Linked DNA regions of Schizosaccharomyces pombe. The protein of the gene in region 1 interacts with the protein of each later gene in a pairwise test. Each region holds a gene or a part of one and is shown in the gene's direction. Other genes may lie near its edges.

Region 1 (3,928 bases):
AACGGTTTGTGACTGAGAAAAGCCAGTCGCAAGAGGAAAAGGACACATCAAAAATCACCGAAAACGCAAAAGAAGAAGTTAAACGGGACACTTCTTCACTTGCGAAAGAGTCATTAAAATTACTTGATTTAAATGGTTTGAATGATGAGTCCTACACTGGAGACCCTGGAAAAGGACCCGAGTATACTAGTTCAACGATGCTAAAGCGAGAAAAGCAGGCTCGTTATGCATTTTGGGGTTTCTTGGGATTAACGGGAGGTGGTTTACTTTACTACGGTCGTCGCTATGGTCCTGATGAGAAAGAACTAGAAAAGCAGTATCCCGCTGCTGGTTATTCCCCTTCAGATTGGTGGAATAGGGTAAAGGCCCGTACAAATAACTTCTTCTCTTACTATCAGGAGCCTGCATTTGAAAAGTTGCTCCCTGATCCTCTTCCTGAACCTTATAATCGACCTTATACCTTGGTCTTAAGTTTGGATGATCTTTTGATTCATAGCGAATGGACTCGTCAACATGGTTGGAGAACTGCAAAGCGTCCTGGTTTAGATTACTTCTTGGGCTATCTCTCCATGTACTACGAAGTAGTCATCTTTACTAGACAGTATTTAGCAACTGCCAAGCCTATCATCGATAAGATTGATCCATACCACGTAAGTATTAGTGCCGTACTTACTCGCGAGTCAAGCAAATATGAGAAGGGTAAGGTTATCAAAGATTTATCTTACTTGAATCGTGACCTGTCTCGAGTGATCATGATCGATACGAATCCCGAGTCATGGTCCAAACAGCCTGATAACGCAATTGCCATGGCTCCATGGACAGGAAATCCTAAGGATAAGGAATTGGTCGGATTAATTCCTCTTTTGGAGTTTATTGCTATCATGGATATTAAAGACGTTCGTCCAGTTCTTAAAAGTTATCAAGGTAAAAACATTCCCCTTGAGTATGCCCGCAGAGAGGAAAAACTACGCACCAAGTTAATTGAAGATTGGAATGAGAAGAAGAAGAAAGGCAGTTCCTTTTTGTTTGGAGGACGGAGTGTATCTGAAGAGCCACCCAAATTAATCATTGATATACAGCGTGAGCGACAAAAGGCTGCTTATGCTGAATTTAAAAAGTATATTGACGAAAATGGACCTAAAATGCTTGAAGAAGAAAAGGCTCGAGAGGCTGAACAAAAAACAAGCATCTTTAATCTTCTCTTCCATCCAGAAGAGGTTCAGCAACAACAGTTAGAACAAATGCAGCAACAACAATTTTCACCCGAAACAAATGCTTCCAAATAGGCTTTCGATGAAACCCGTGTCAGCGTTTCCTTCCTGAAGAACATTCAAATGAAATAAGAAAAAGGAAAAATTAAACAATAATACGTCCCTTGTGCTTGTTGCTGACTGACACAATGCGGTATTCCGCTTTATTTTGTTCTCTAATTTATGAGAAAATGTAACAACTTTCAAGTCGTATCATTCTGCTTATTTTGGCTTCGTTTTGTCTCATGCCCATGTCTTAATACTTCTTTTACAGGACGACAATTTTGCTTTGGTACTTTGGATTCCTTTTCTCCACCCAAGCTCCGTTCTTTCTAATTCATTTCTCCTACGTTTCCAAGGGTATTGGTGCAAATTCGAAATCTTATTCAAAATTTACTTCTTATATTCAATTCAACCTACAAAAAAGTATTCTTTTAATTTTTTCCTTACTGGTTTTTTTTGTGTACGGACCATGCTGGGAATACGCTGGTCTTCCGAGTTTTTGTTCCTTTATACTGCGCACTTAAAGTGTTTACCTTCTTGGGTCATCCTATTTAAAAATTTGACTGACTATGTAAATTTCCACCAAAACAGGGTATCTATGAATTCTTGTATATAAGCATCAATCAAGGGTTTCCTTCATTTTCGTAATAATAATAATATTGTCCATCTATTTTTTTTTTACTTTTAGTGAGAATTTACCACTGAGTTCCAAAGAAAGCTTTATGTACTGCACTATGTGTATTATCCTTTGTTACCTATGCTACCCTTTAGCCTACTACTACCACATGTGGACTATATGTATTAAAAGAAACTACTAAGAACCAACCACTTTAAGAGCCCACACATCATACCAAACAAAAAACGGGTTAGCTCGCCTGTTATACTATAGTTGAAACAGGATAAAAAGGAGTTTTTACAATATTTCACAAGTTGGTGTGAGTTATGAGACTGAAGGATATAAGCAAAACGGCTACGTTGGCGTGGTCGCCCCGCGGGGTGAATGATAACCAAGCTCTGTTAGCGTTAGGAGGATATACCGGGACGGAGGGTTCTAAAAACAGCGACACCTTGCTTGAATTGTGGAATGAAAATCCTGAATCACAAAAACCCGTTGGATCTATCGACGTGAAGACTAGATTTTACGATTTAGCATGGGAGAAATCGTTAGATAAGCCCATGGGTGTAATCGCTGGTAGTTTAGAAGATGGCGGTATTGGATTTTGGGATCCTGCTGCTATTTTGAAATCAGATGAAGCGTCCGCTTCAATTGCTACCTATAAATCCGAAAACGGCTCGATTCTCGGCCCTCTTGATTTCAATAGATTACAACCCAATCTTTTAGCCTCTGGTGATAATAAAGGTGATGTTTGGGTTTGGGATATCAAGCATCCACAACAGCCTTTCGCTCTCCCAAAACAAAATCGCTCCTCCGAAGTTCATGTGGTTTCTTGGAATAACAAAGTTTCACATATCTTAGCTTCTGGTAACGCTACTGAATACACTACCGTTTGGGACGTTAAGCTTAAACGCCAAGTCTTGAATCTATCATATTTGGGTGCCGCCGGTGTTAGCGCAGCTACCGGAGCGGTTAACAGTATTGCTTGGCACCCTAATAATGCCACTCGCCTTGCAACTGCTATTGATGATAATAGAAACCCCATCATCCTAACGTGGGATTTACGCCAACCTACTGTTCCTCAAAACATCCTTACCGGACACCAAAAGGCTGCACTCTCTCTTTCGTGGTGCCCTGAAGATCCAACGTTTTTGCTAAGTAGTGGAAAGGATGGGCGTGCTATGGTTTGGAATGTTGAAACTGGCGAATCTTTGGGCAGTTTTCCTCGTTCTGGTAATTGGTATACAAAAAGCTCTTGGTGTCCTTCTAATTCCAATCGTGTTGCTGTCGCTTCTTTGGAGGGTAAGGTATCTATCTTTTCAATTCAAAGCACAAACACCGACAAGAGTCAAGAAGCCTCTATTAAAGGTGCTACCTCCATAGATGATAACGAATTTTTTAACAATTTGCCCTCCATTGCTGGATCACAAGAACCTTCGTTTTCACTACCTCTTGCTCCCAAGTGGTTTAAAGTACCTGTTGGTGCTCGATTTGGCTTCCCCAACAAGATCGTTAGTTTTTCGCCAAATTCTAAAGAGGTCACTATAACCTCTGCTCCCGATGAAGTTGAGCAAGATGAAGCTAAGTCCTTCCATTCTTCCGCCAAATTTCAAACTGAAAAGGAAATTACTGATTTTTGTCAGAAAGGTGTGGAAGAATCCGCCTCCGAAGAGGAGGCCATAAATTGGAAGCTACTTATGGCCGTCAGTAAGCGCGCTTCTAGGTCTAAGTTTGCTGAACTTTTGGGTTATAAGACATTAAAACCAAAAAACGATGAGGATGACAGCAAGGTAGACGAGTCTGTTGCCAAGGATTCAACAACACCTAATGAACTTTCAAAGAATGCTAATAATGAGAATTATGATGATGATTCCTCTTTTTATGGGAAATTAGCCGAAAGTGTGCAAGAAGTATCTATAGCTGACAAGAAGGATGCTGAGATTGTAAAAGATTCATTTAAGATCTTCAATCCAGAAGATTCTGACTTAGAGAAAAACATCACTGAGGCGCTTCTTACCGGTGATGTTTTATCGGCCGTGAAAGCTTGCCTTGAGGAGAA
Region 2 (3,928 bases), on another chromosome or scaffold:
TCTCTATTCTACTGCAGTAAAACTATATTAAGACAGTAGCTTTGCGCTCAATAACTTTTTATGGGTTTAGGATTCATTAATCAATCTTTTAATCAGTGTGAAGTATTAAAATAAAAAGTTAAGTTTCAAGCACTATGTAGGATTTTCTCAAAGTCGAGCGAGATACGTTGAAATGAGTTTAAGAATGAGTTATTACCGTTACAATAGTATTCTAGTAATTCCCATCAAAGGGACTAATCAGGCTAGTTAATAGCTATTTGTATTGTTTTCTATGTACTTCTTTGGTGACAACAAGGAAAAGTGGAAAAGTATAAGATACTTGGAAAAATTTAATCAAAATCTCAAAACTCATAATTTCAGTGAAAAGAATATAGTCGGATGTATATATCCTTCCAAAATATCGCATTTGTAAGCTTTGGAACGAGATTTAAAAGAAACAACGTAGATTGCTAAAGGGGAATATGTGAAGATCATATGTAAGCTATAAAAGTAATTTGCACAACAAAAGGCAATCTCCAAACAATCCGAGATATTTGGGTGAAGTAAAGTTTCACTGAAGAAGGTGGTAAGAAATCGTCATTACCATATTCAATTGTAGTCCAGACACCGATATGTGAAAGAAATTGGTAAGAAAAAGGAAAATGTTTGCTTTGTAACAAAACATCACTATAAATTTCTTTATAGTACTGAATACCGAGAATTTTGAATAACCAAGTAGATTTGAAATTTACGATTTTAAAAAATAAGGCTGGCATAAATAATGACTACTTCCAGCTTTTTGCAACGTCAAAAGCCCAAACAAATTCATGATGGACCACTTTATCATCATCAACAAACTTTCCATTGGCTTCATAATGTCCGCGAGCCAGCATACCTGTAGGTGCCTCATCTGGTTCAGAGGTAAAATCATAAGGTGTTTCAGAAGGTCCATAGGAGCCAATCATGGTAGATGTTTTGTCAACAACAAAGCCACGTCTGCGAACAGTTTGGACATATCTTAAGCCTGAAATTACTTCGTGTTGTACACGAAATTTAACACCAATCTTAAACTCGCTTCCTTCCTTAATAGTGAACCCTTTCTTGCGGATTTGTTCGACACTTGCTGCATCTTCCATGTTAACATCAACTGGGTCACGGCCGTCAACAAGTAAACTCAGCTTTAAAATAACAACTGTTCTACGATCATTCGAGGGTGAATAACCTGTTCCCGTGATACCCAGAGATGCTTTCCATTTCTGCAATGATTCATCTTCGGCATCCATCTTCATATATTCATTAAGTGATTTCTTTTCTCCCAGAGAAACCGGAGGTCCATGCTCAAATGTATCATCCTCTAGTTCAGGGTTATGTTGATCAGCGGATACTTCATTGTTAACACTCATTTTAAAACAACGCAATAGAATTTAATTATCTGCCAGTAGCTAAACCAAGGACAATTTGTTTTTATAAAAAAAGTTCAGATTCGTTGTTTTGTTAATGTACTGTTCTAGAGTTGAAATTGGCAAAGGGAACATAGCATATTGCTATCTCAACAATATAACCAGATGTACTACTATGTTAACATTTCGGTGACTTGGATTATTTTAAATATAACGGAGATGCAGAAAAGCGTGAGAAAAGTATAAGATTTTTTTTTTCTTTCTATTCCCTTCGATTTTTTTTTTAGTGTCATTATCCATGCTTTTATACATGTAAATATGTTGGAGTAATCCCAAGCATTGACGTCTTATGAGACGTAAAAAAGAAGGAACTTTCTATGCTAGCTTTTCTGTAGGCAGATGTTCTTTACATGAAATTGTTTGAGCAGCAAGTTATAGCTGTAGTCGATAACTATTATACAACCAGATTTGATACGTTTAGCGGAAAAATTATCAATCACTTCAGGAATTATTATTAAAAAACTTACGAAGGAAGTCCACTGAAAATAAAAATCATGTGAAAGATACGCTTAACTATACCAAACCCTAATTAATTACAAAAACGGCGGTTGGTGTTAAAGTGAAAATTAGTAAGCCAATCTGTGTGCTATTATTTTTAATACCAAGACATTCCTGGCACGGAGTTCTGCTCCCATTGTAATTTTCCTCGTAGACCACACTCTTGAAAGACAATTACTAGATTACCTTGATTAAGGTACTGTTTGTTTAATATCAACTTCTTTTTTGTTTTTAAAGATCATTTTGAAAGGGGTTTAATAGATTAGCATTTCGTTATACGATAAGGTTTTAGTCAACTACCCGATTTCTACTACCAGGAACCAGTTTCCTTGAGCTTTTACCATTTGCTAGTATAGGGTGTTTTATATATTATTCTATTTATGTTGAATTGAACCATAAGTGTCTCCTTCGCATAAATACACTAGCCTTTTTTATTCCTGTTTTATTTTAGAACACTATCCATTTGAGAGGAAAATTTGGGCAAGGTAATGGCAATGTCGTCTATCACCTCTGCTAAACAATTAAATGCCGAAGAGCTTTTAGATGAATGCGATTCTTTTAATGGGGAATTTGTTCCTGGAACAATTCCCTTCCGTGCAAATGGCGCTGCCATTGGATATGTTACCCCTTTGGTACTAGAAATCCTCATAAAGGCGGATAATTTCAAATTCAATTGGGTTTATGTTCCAGGAGAGTATATTGAAATAAACGCATCTACTTTTGAAAAAAGAACTGACATCTTAGCTAAGGTACTGGAGCATTGGCGCCATAACAATACATTTGGAATTGCTGATCAATGGAGGAATGAATTATATACTGTTTATGGAAAATCTAAAAAGCCTGTATTGGCCGTTGAACGGGGCGGATTTTGGTTATTCGGTTTTTTGAGCACTGGTGTGCATTGTACCATGTATATTCCAGCAACTAAAGAACATCCTCTTCGTATTTGGGTACCACGAAGATCACCGACTAAACAAACGTGGCCCAATTATTTAGATAATAGCGTTGCCGGCGGAATTGCTCATGGTGATTCAGTCATAGGCACTATGATAAAGGAATTTTCTGAAGAAGCTAATTTGGACGTTTCTTCTATGAATCTTATTCCTTGTGGCACTGTCTCCTACATCAAAATGGAGAAAAGGCATTGGATTCAGCCCGAGTTACAATATGTATTCGATTTACCTGTTGATGATCTTGTTATCCCAAGAATTAATGATGGAGAAGTCGCTGGTTTCAGTTTATTACCATTGAATCAAGTACTTCATGAACTTGAATTAAAAAGTTTTAAGCCAAATTGTGCTCTGGTTCTTTTAGACTTTTTAATCCGTCATGGTATCATTACTCCACAGCATCCTCAGTATCTCCAAACTTTAGAACGGATACATAGACCGTTGCCTGTTCCTGTTGGAAAATATGAAAGAGGGGATTCTTTTGAAGATACTTCAAAGAAAGCTGAAACGTGTGTTCCTGCAAAACCCCAAAAAGCCACTCATCAGCTAGCTCCATGTAAGGCTTGGTTACGTGACTATGATACTGATCAAAAGTTTGCGGTATTACTATTAAATCAACCCATAGATATACCGGATGATAGATTTCGTACTTTATGGAAAAGAGCTAGTATCCGAGTCTGCGCAGACGGTGGTGCTAACCAATTGAGAAATTACGATTCTTCGCTCAAACCGGATTATGTCGTTGGTGACTTTGATTCGTTAACAGATGAAACTAAAGCTTATTATAAAGAAATGGGAGTCAACATTGTATTCGACCCATGCCAAAACACCACTGACTTTATGAAATGCCATAAAATAATTAAAGAACATGGGATTGATACTATTTTTGTATTATGTGGCATGGGTGGAAGAGTTGATCATGCCATTGGTAATTTAAACCATCTATTCTGGGCCGCCTCGATTTCTGAAAAGAATGAAGTATTTCTATTAACTGAATTGAATGTATCAACTTTGCTTCAACCCGGAATAAATCATGTTGAT

What was found.
Region 2: the proteins of sec31 (region 1) and tnr3 interact in a two-hybrid assay, tested with the Schizosaccharomyces pombe proteins (one large-scale study listed by BioGRID).

The regions. Positions count from the first base shown.
Region 1 is NC_003423.3:1,397,776-1,401,703, reverse strand, and holds the start of sec31 (COPII-coated vesicle-associated protein Sec31), read left to right. Parts: upstream 1-2,066; 5' UTR 2,067-2,195; coding exon 2,196-3,928. Other genes in the region: TIM23 translocase complex subunit Tim50, read left to right, coding at 1-1,286. UniProt on the Schizosaccharomyces pombe protein: Component of the coat protein complex II (COPII) which promotes the formation of transport vesicles from the endoplasmic reticulum (ER).
Region 2 is NC_003424.3:1,317,300-1,321,227, reverse strand, and holds the start of tnr3 (thiamine diphosphokinase Tnr3/ Nudix hydrolase fusion protein), read left to right. Parts: upstream 1-2,249; 5' UTR 2,250-2,425; coding exon 2,426-3,928. Other genes in the region: Rho GDP dissociation inhibitor Rdi1, read right to left, coding at 765-1,382.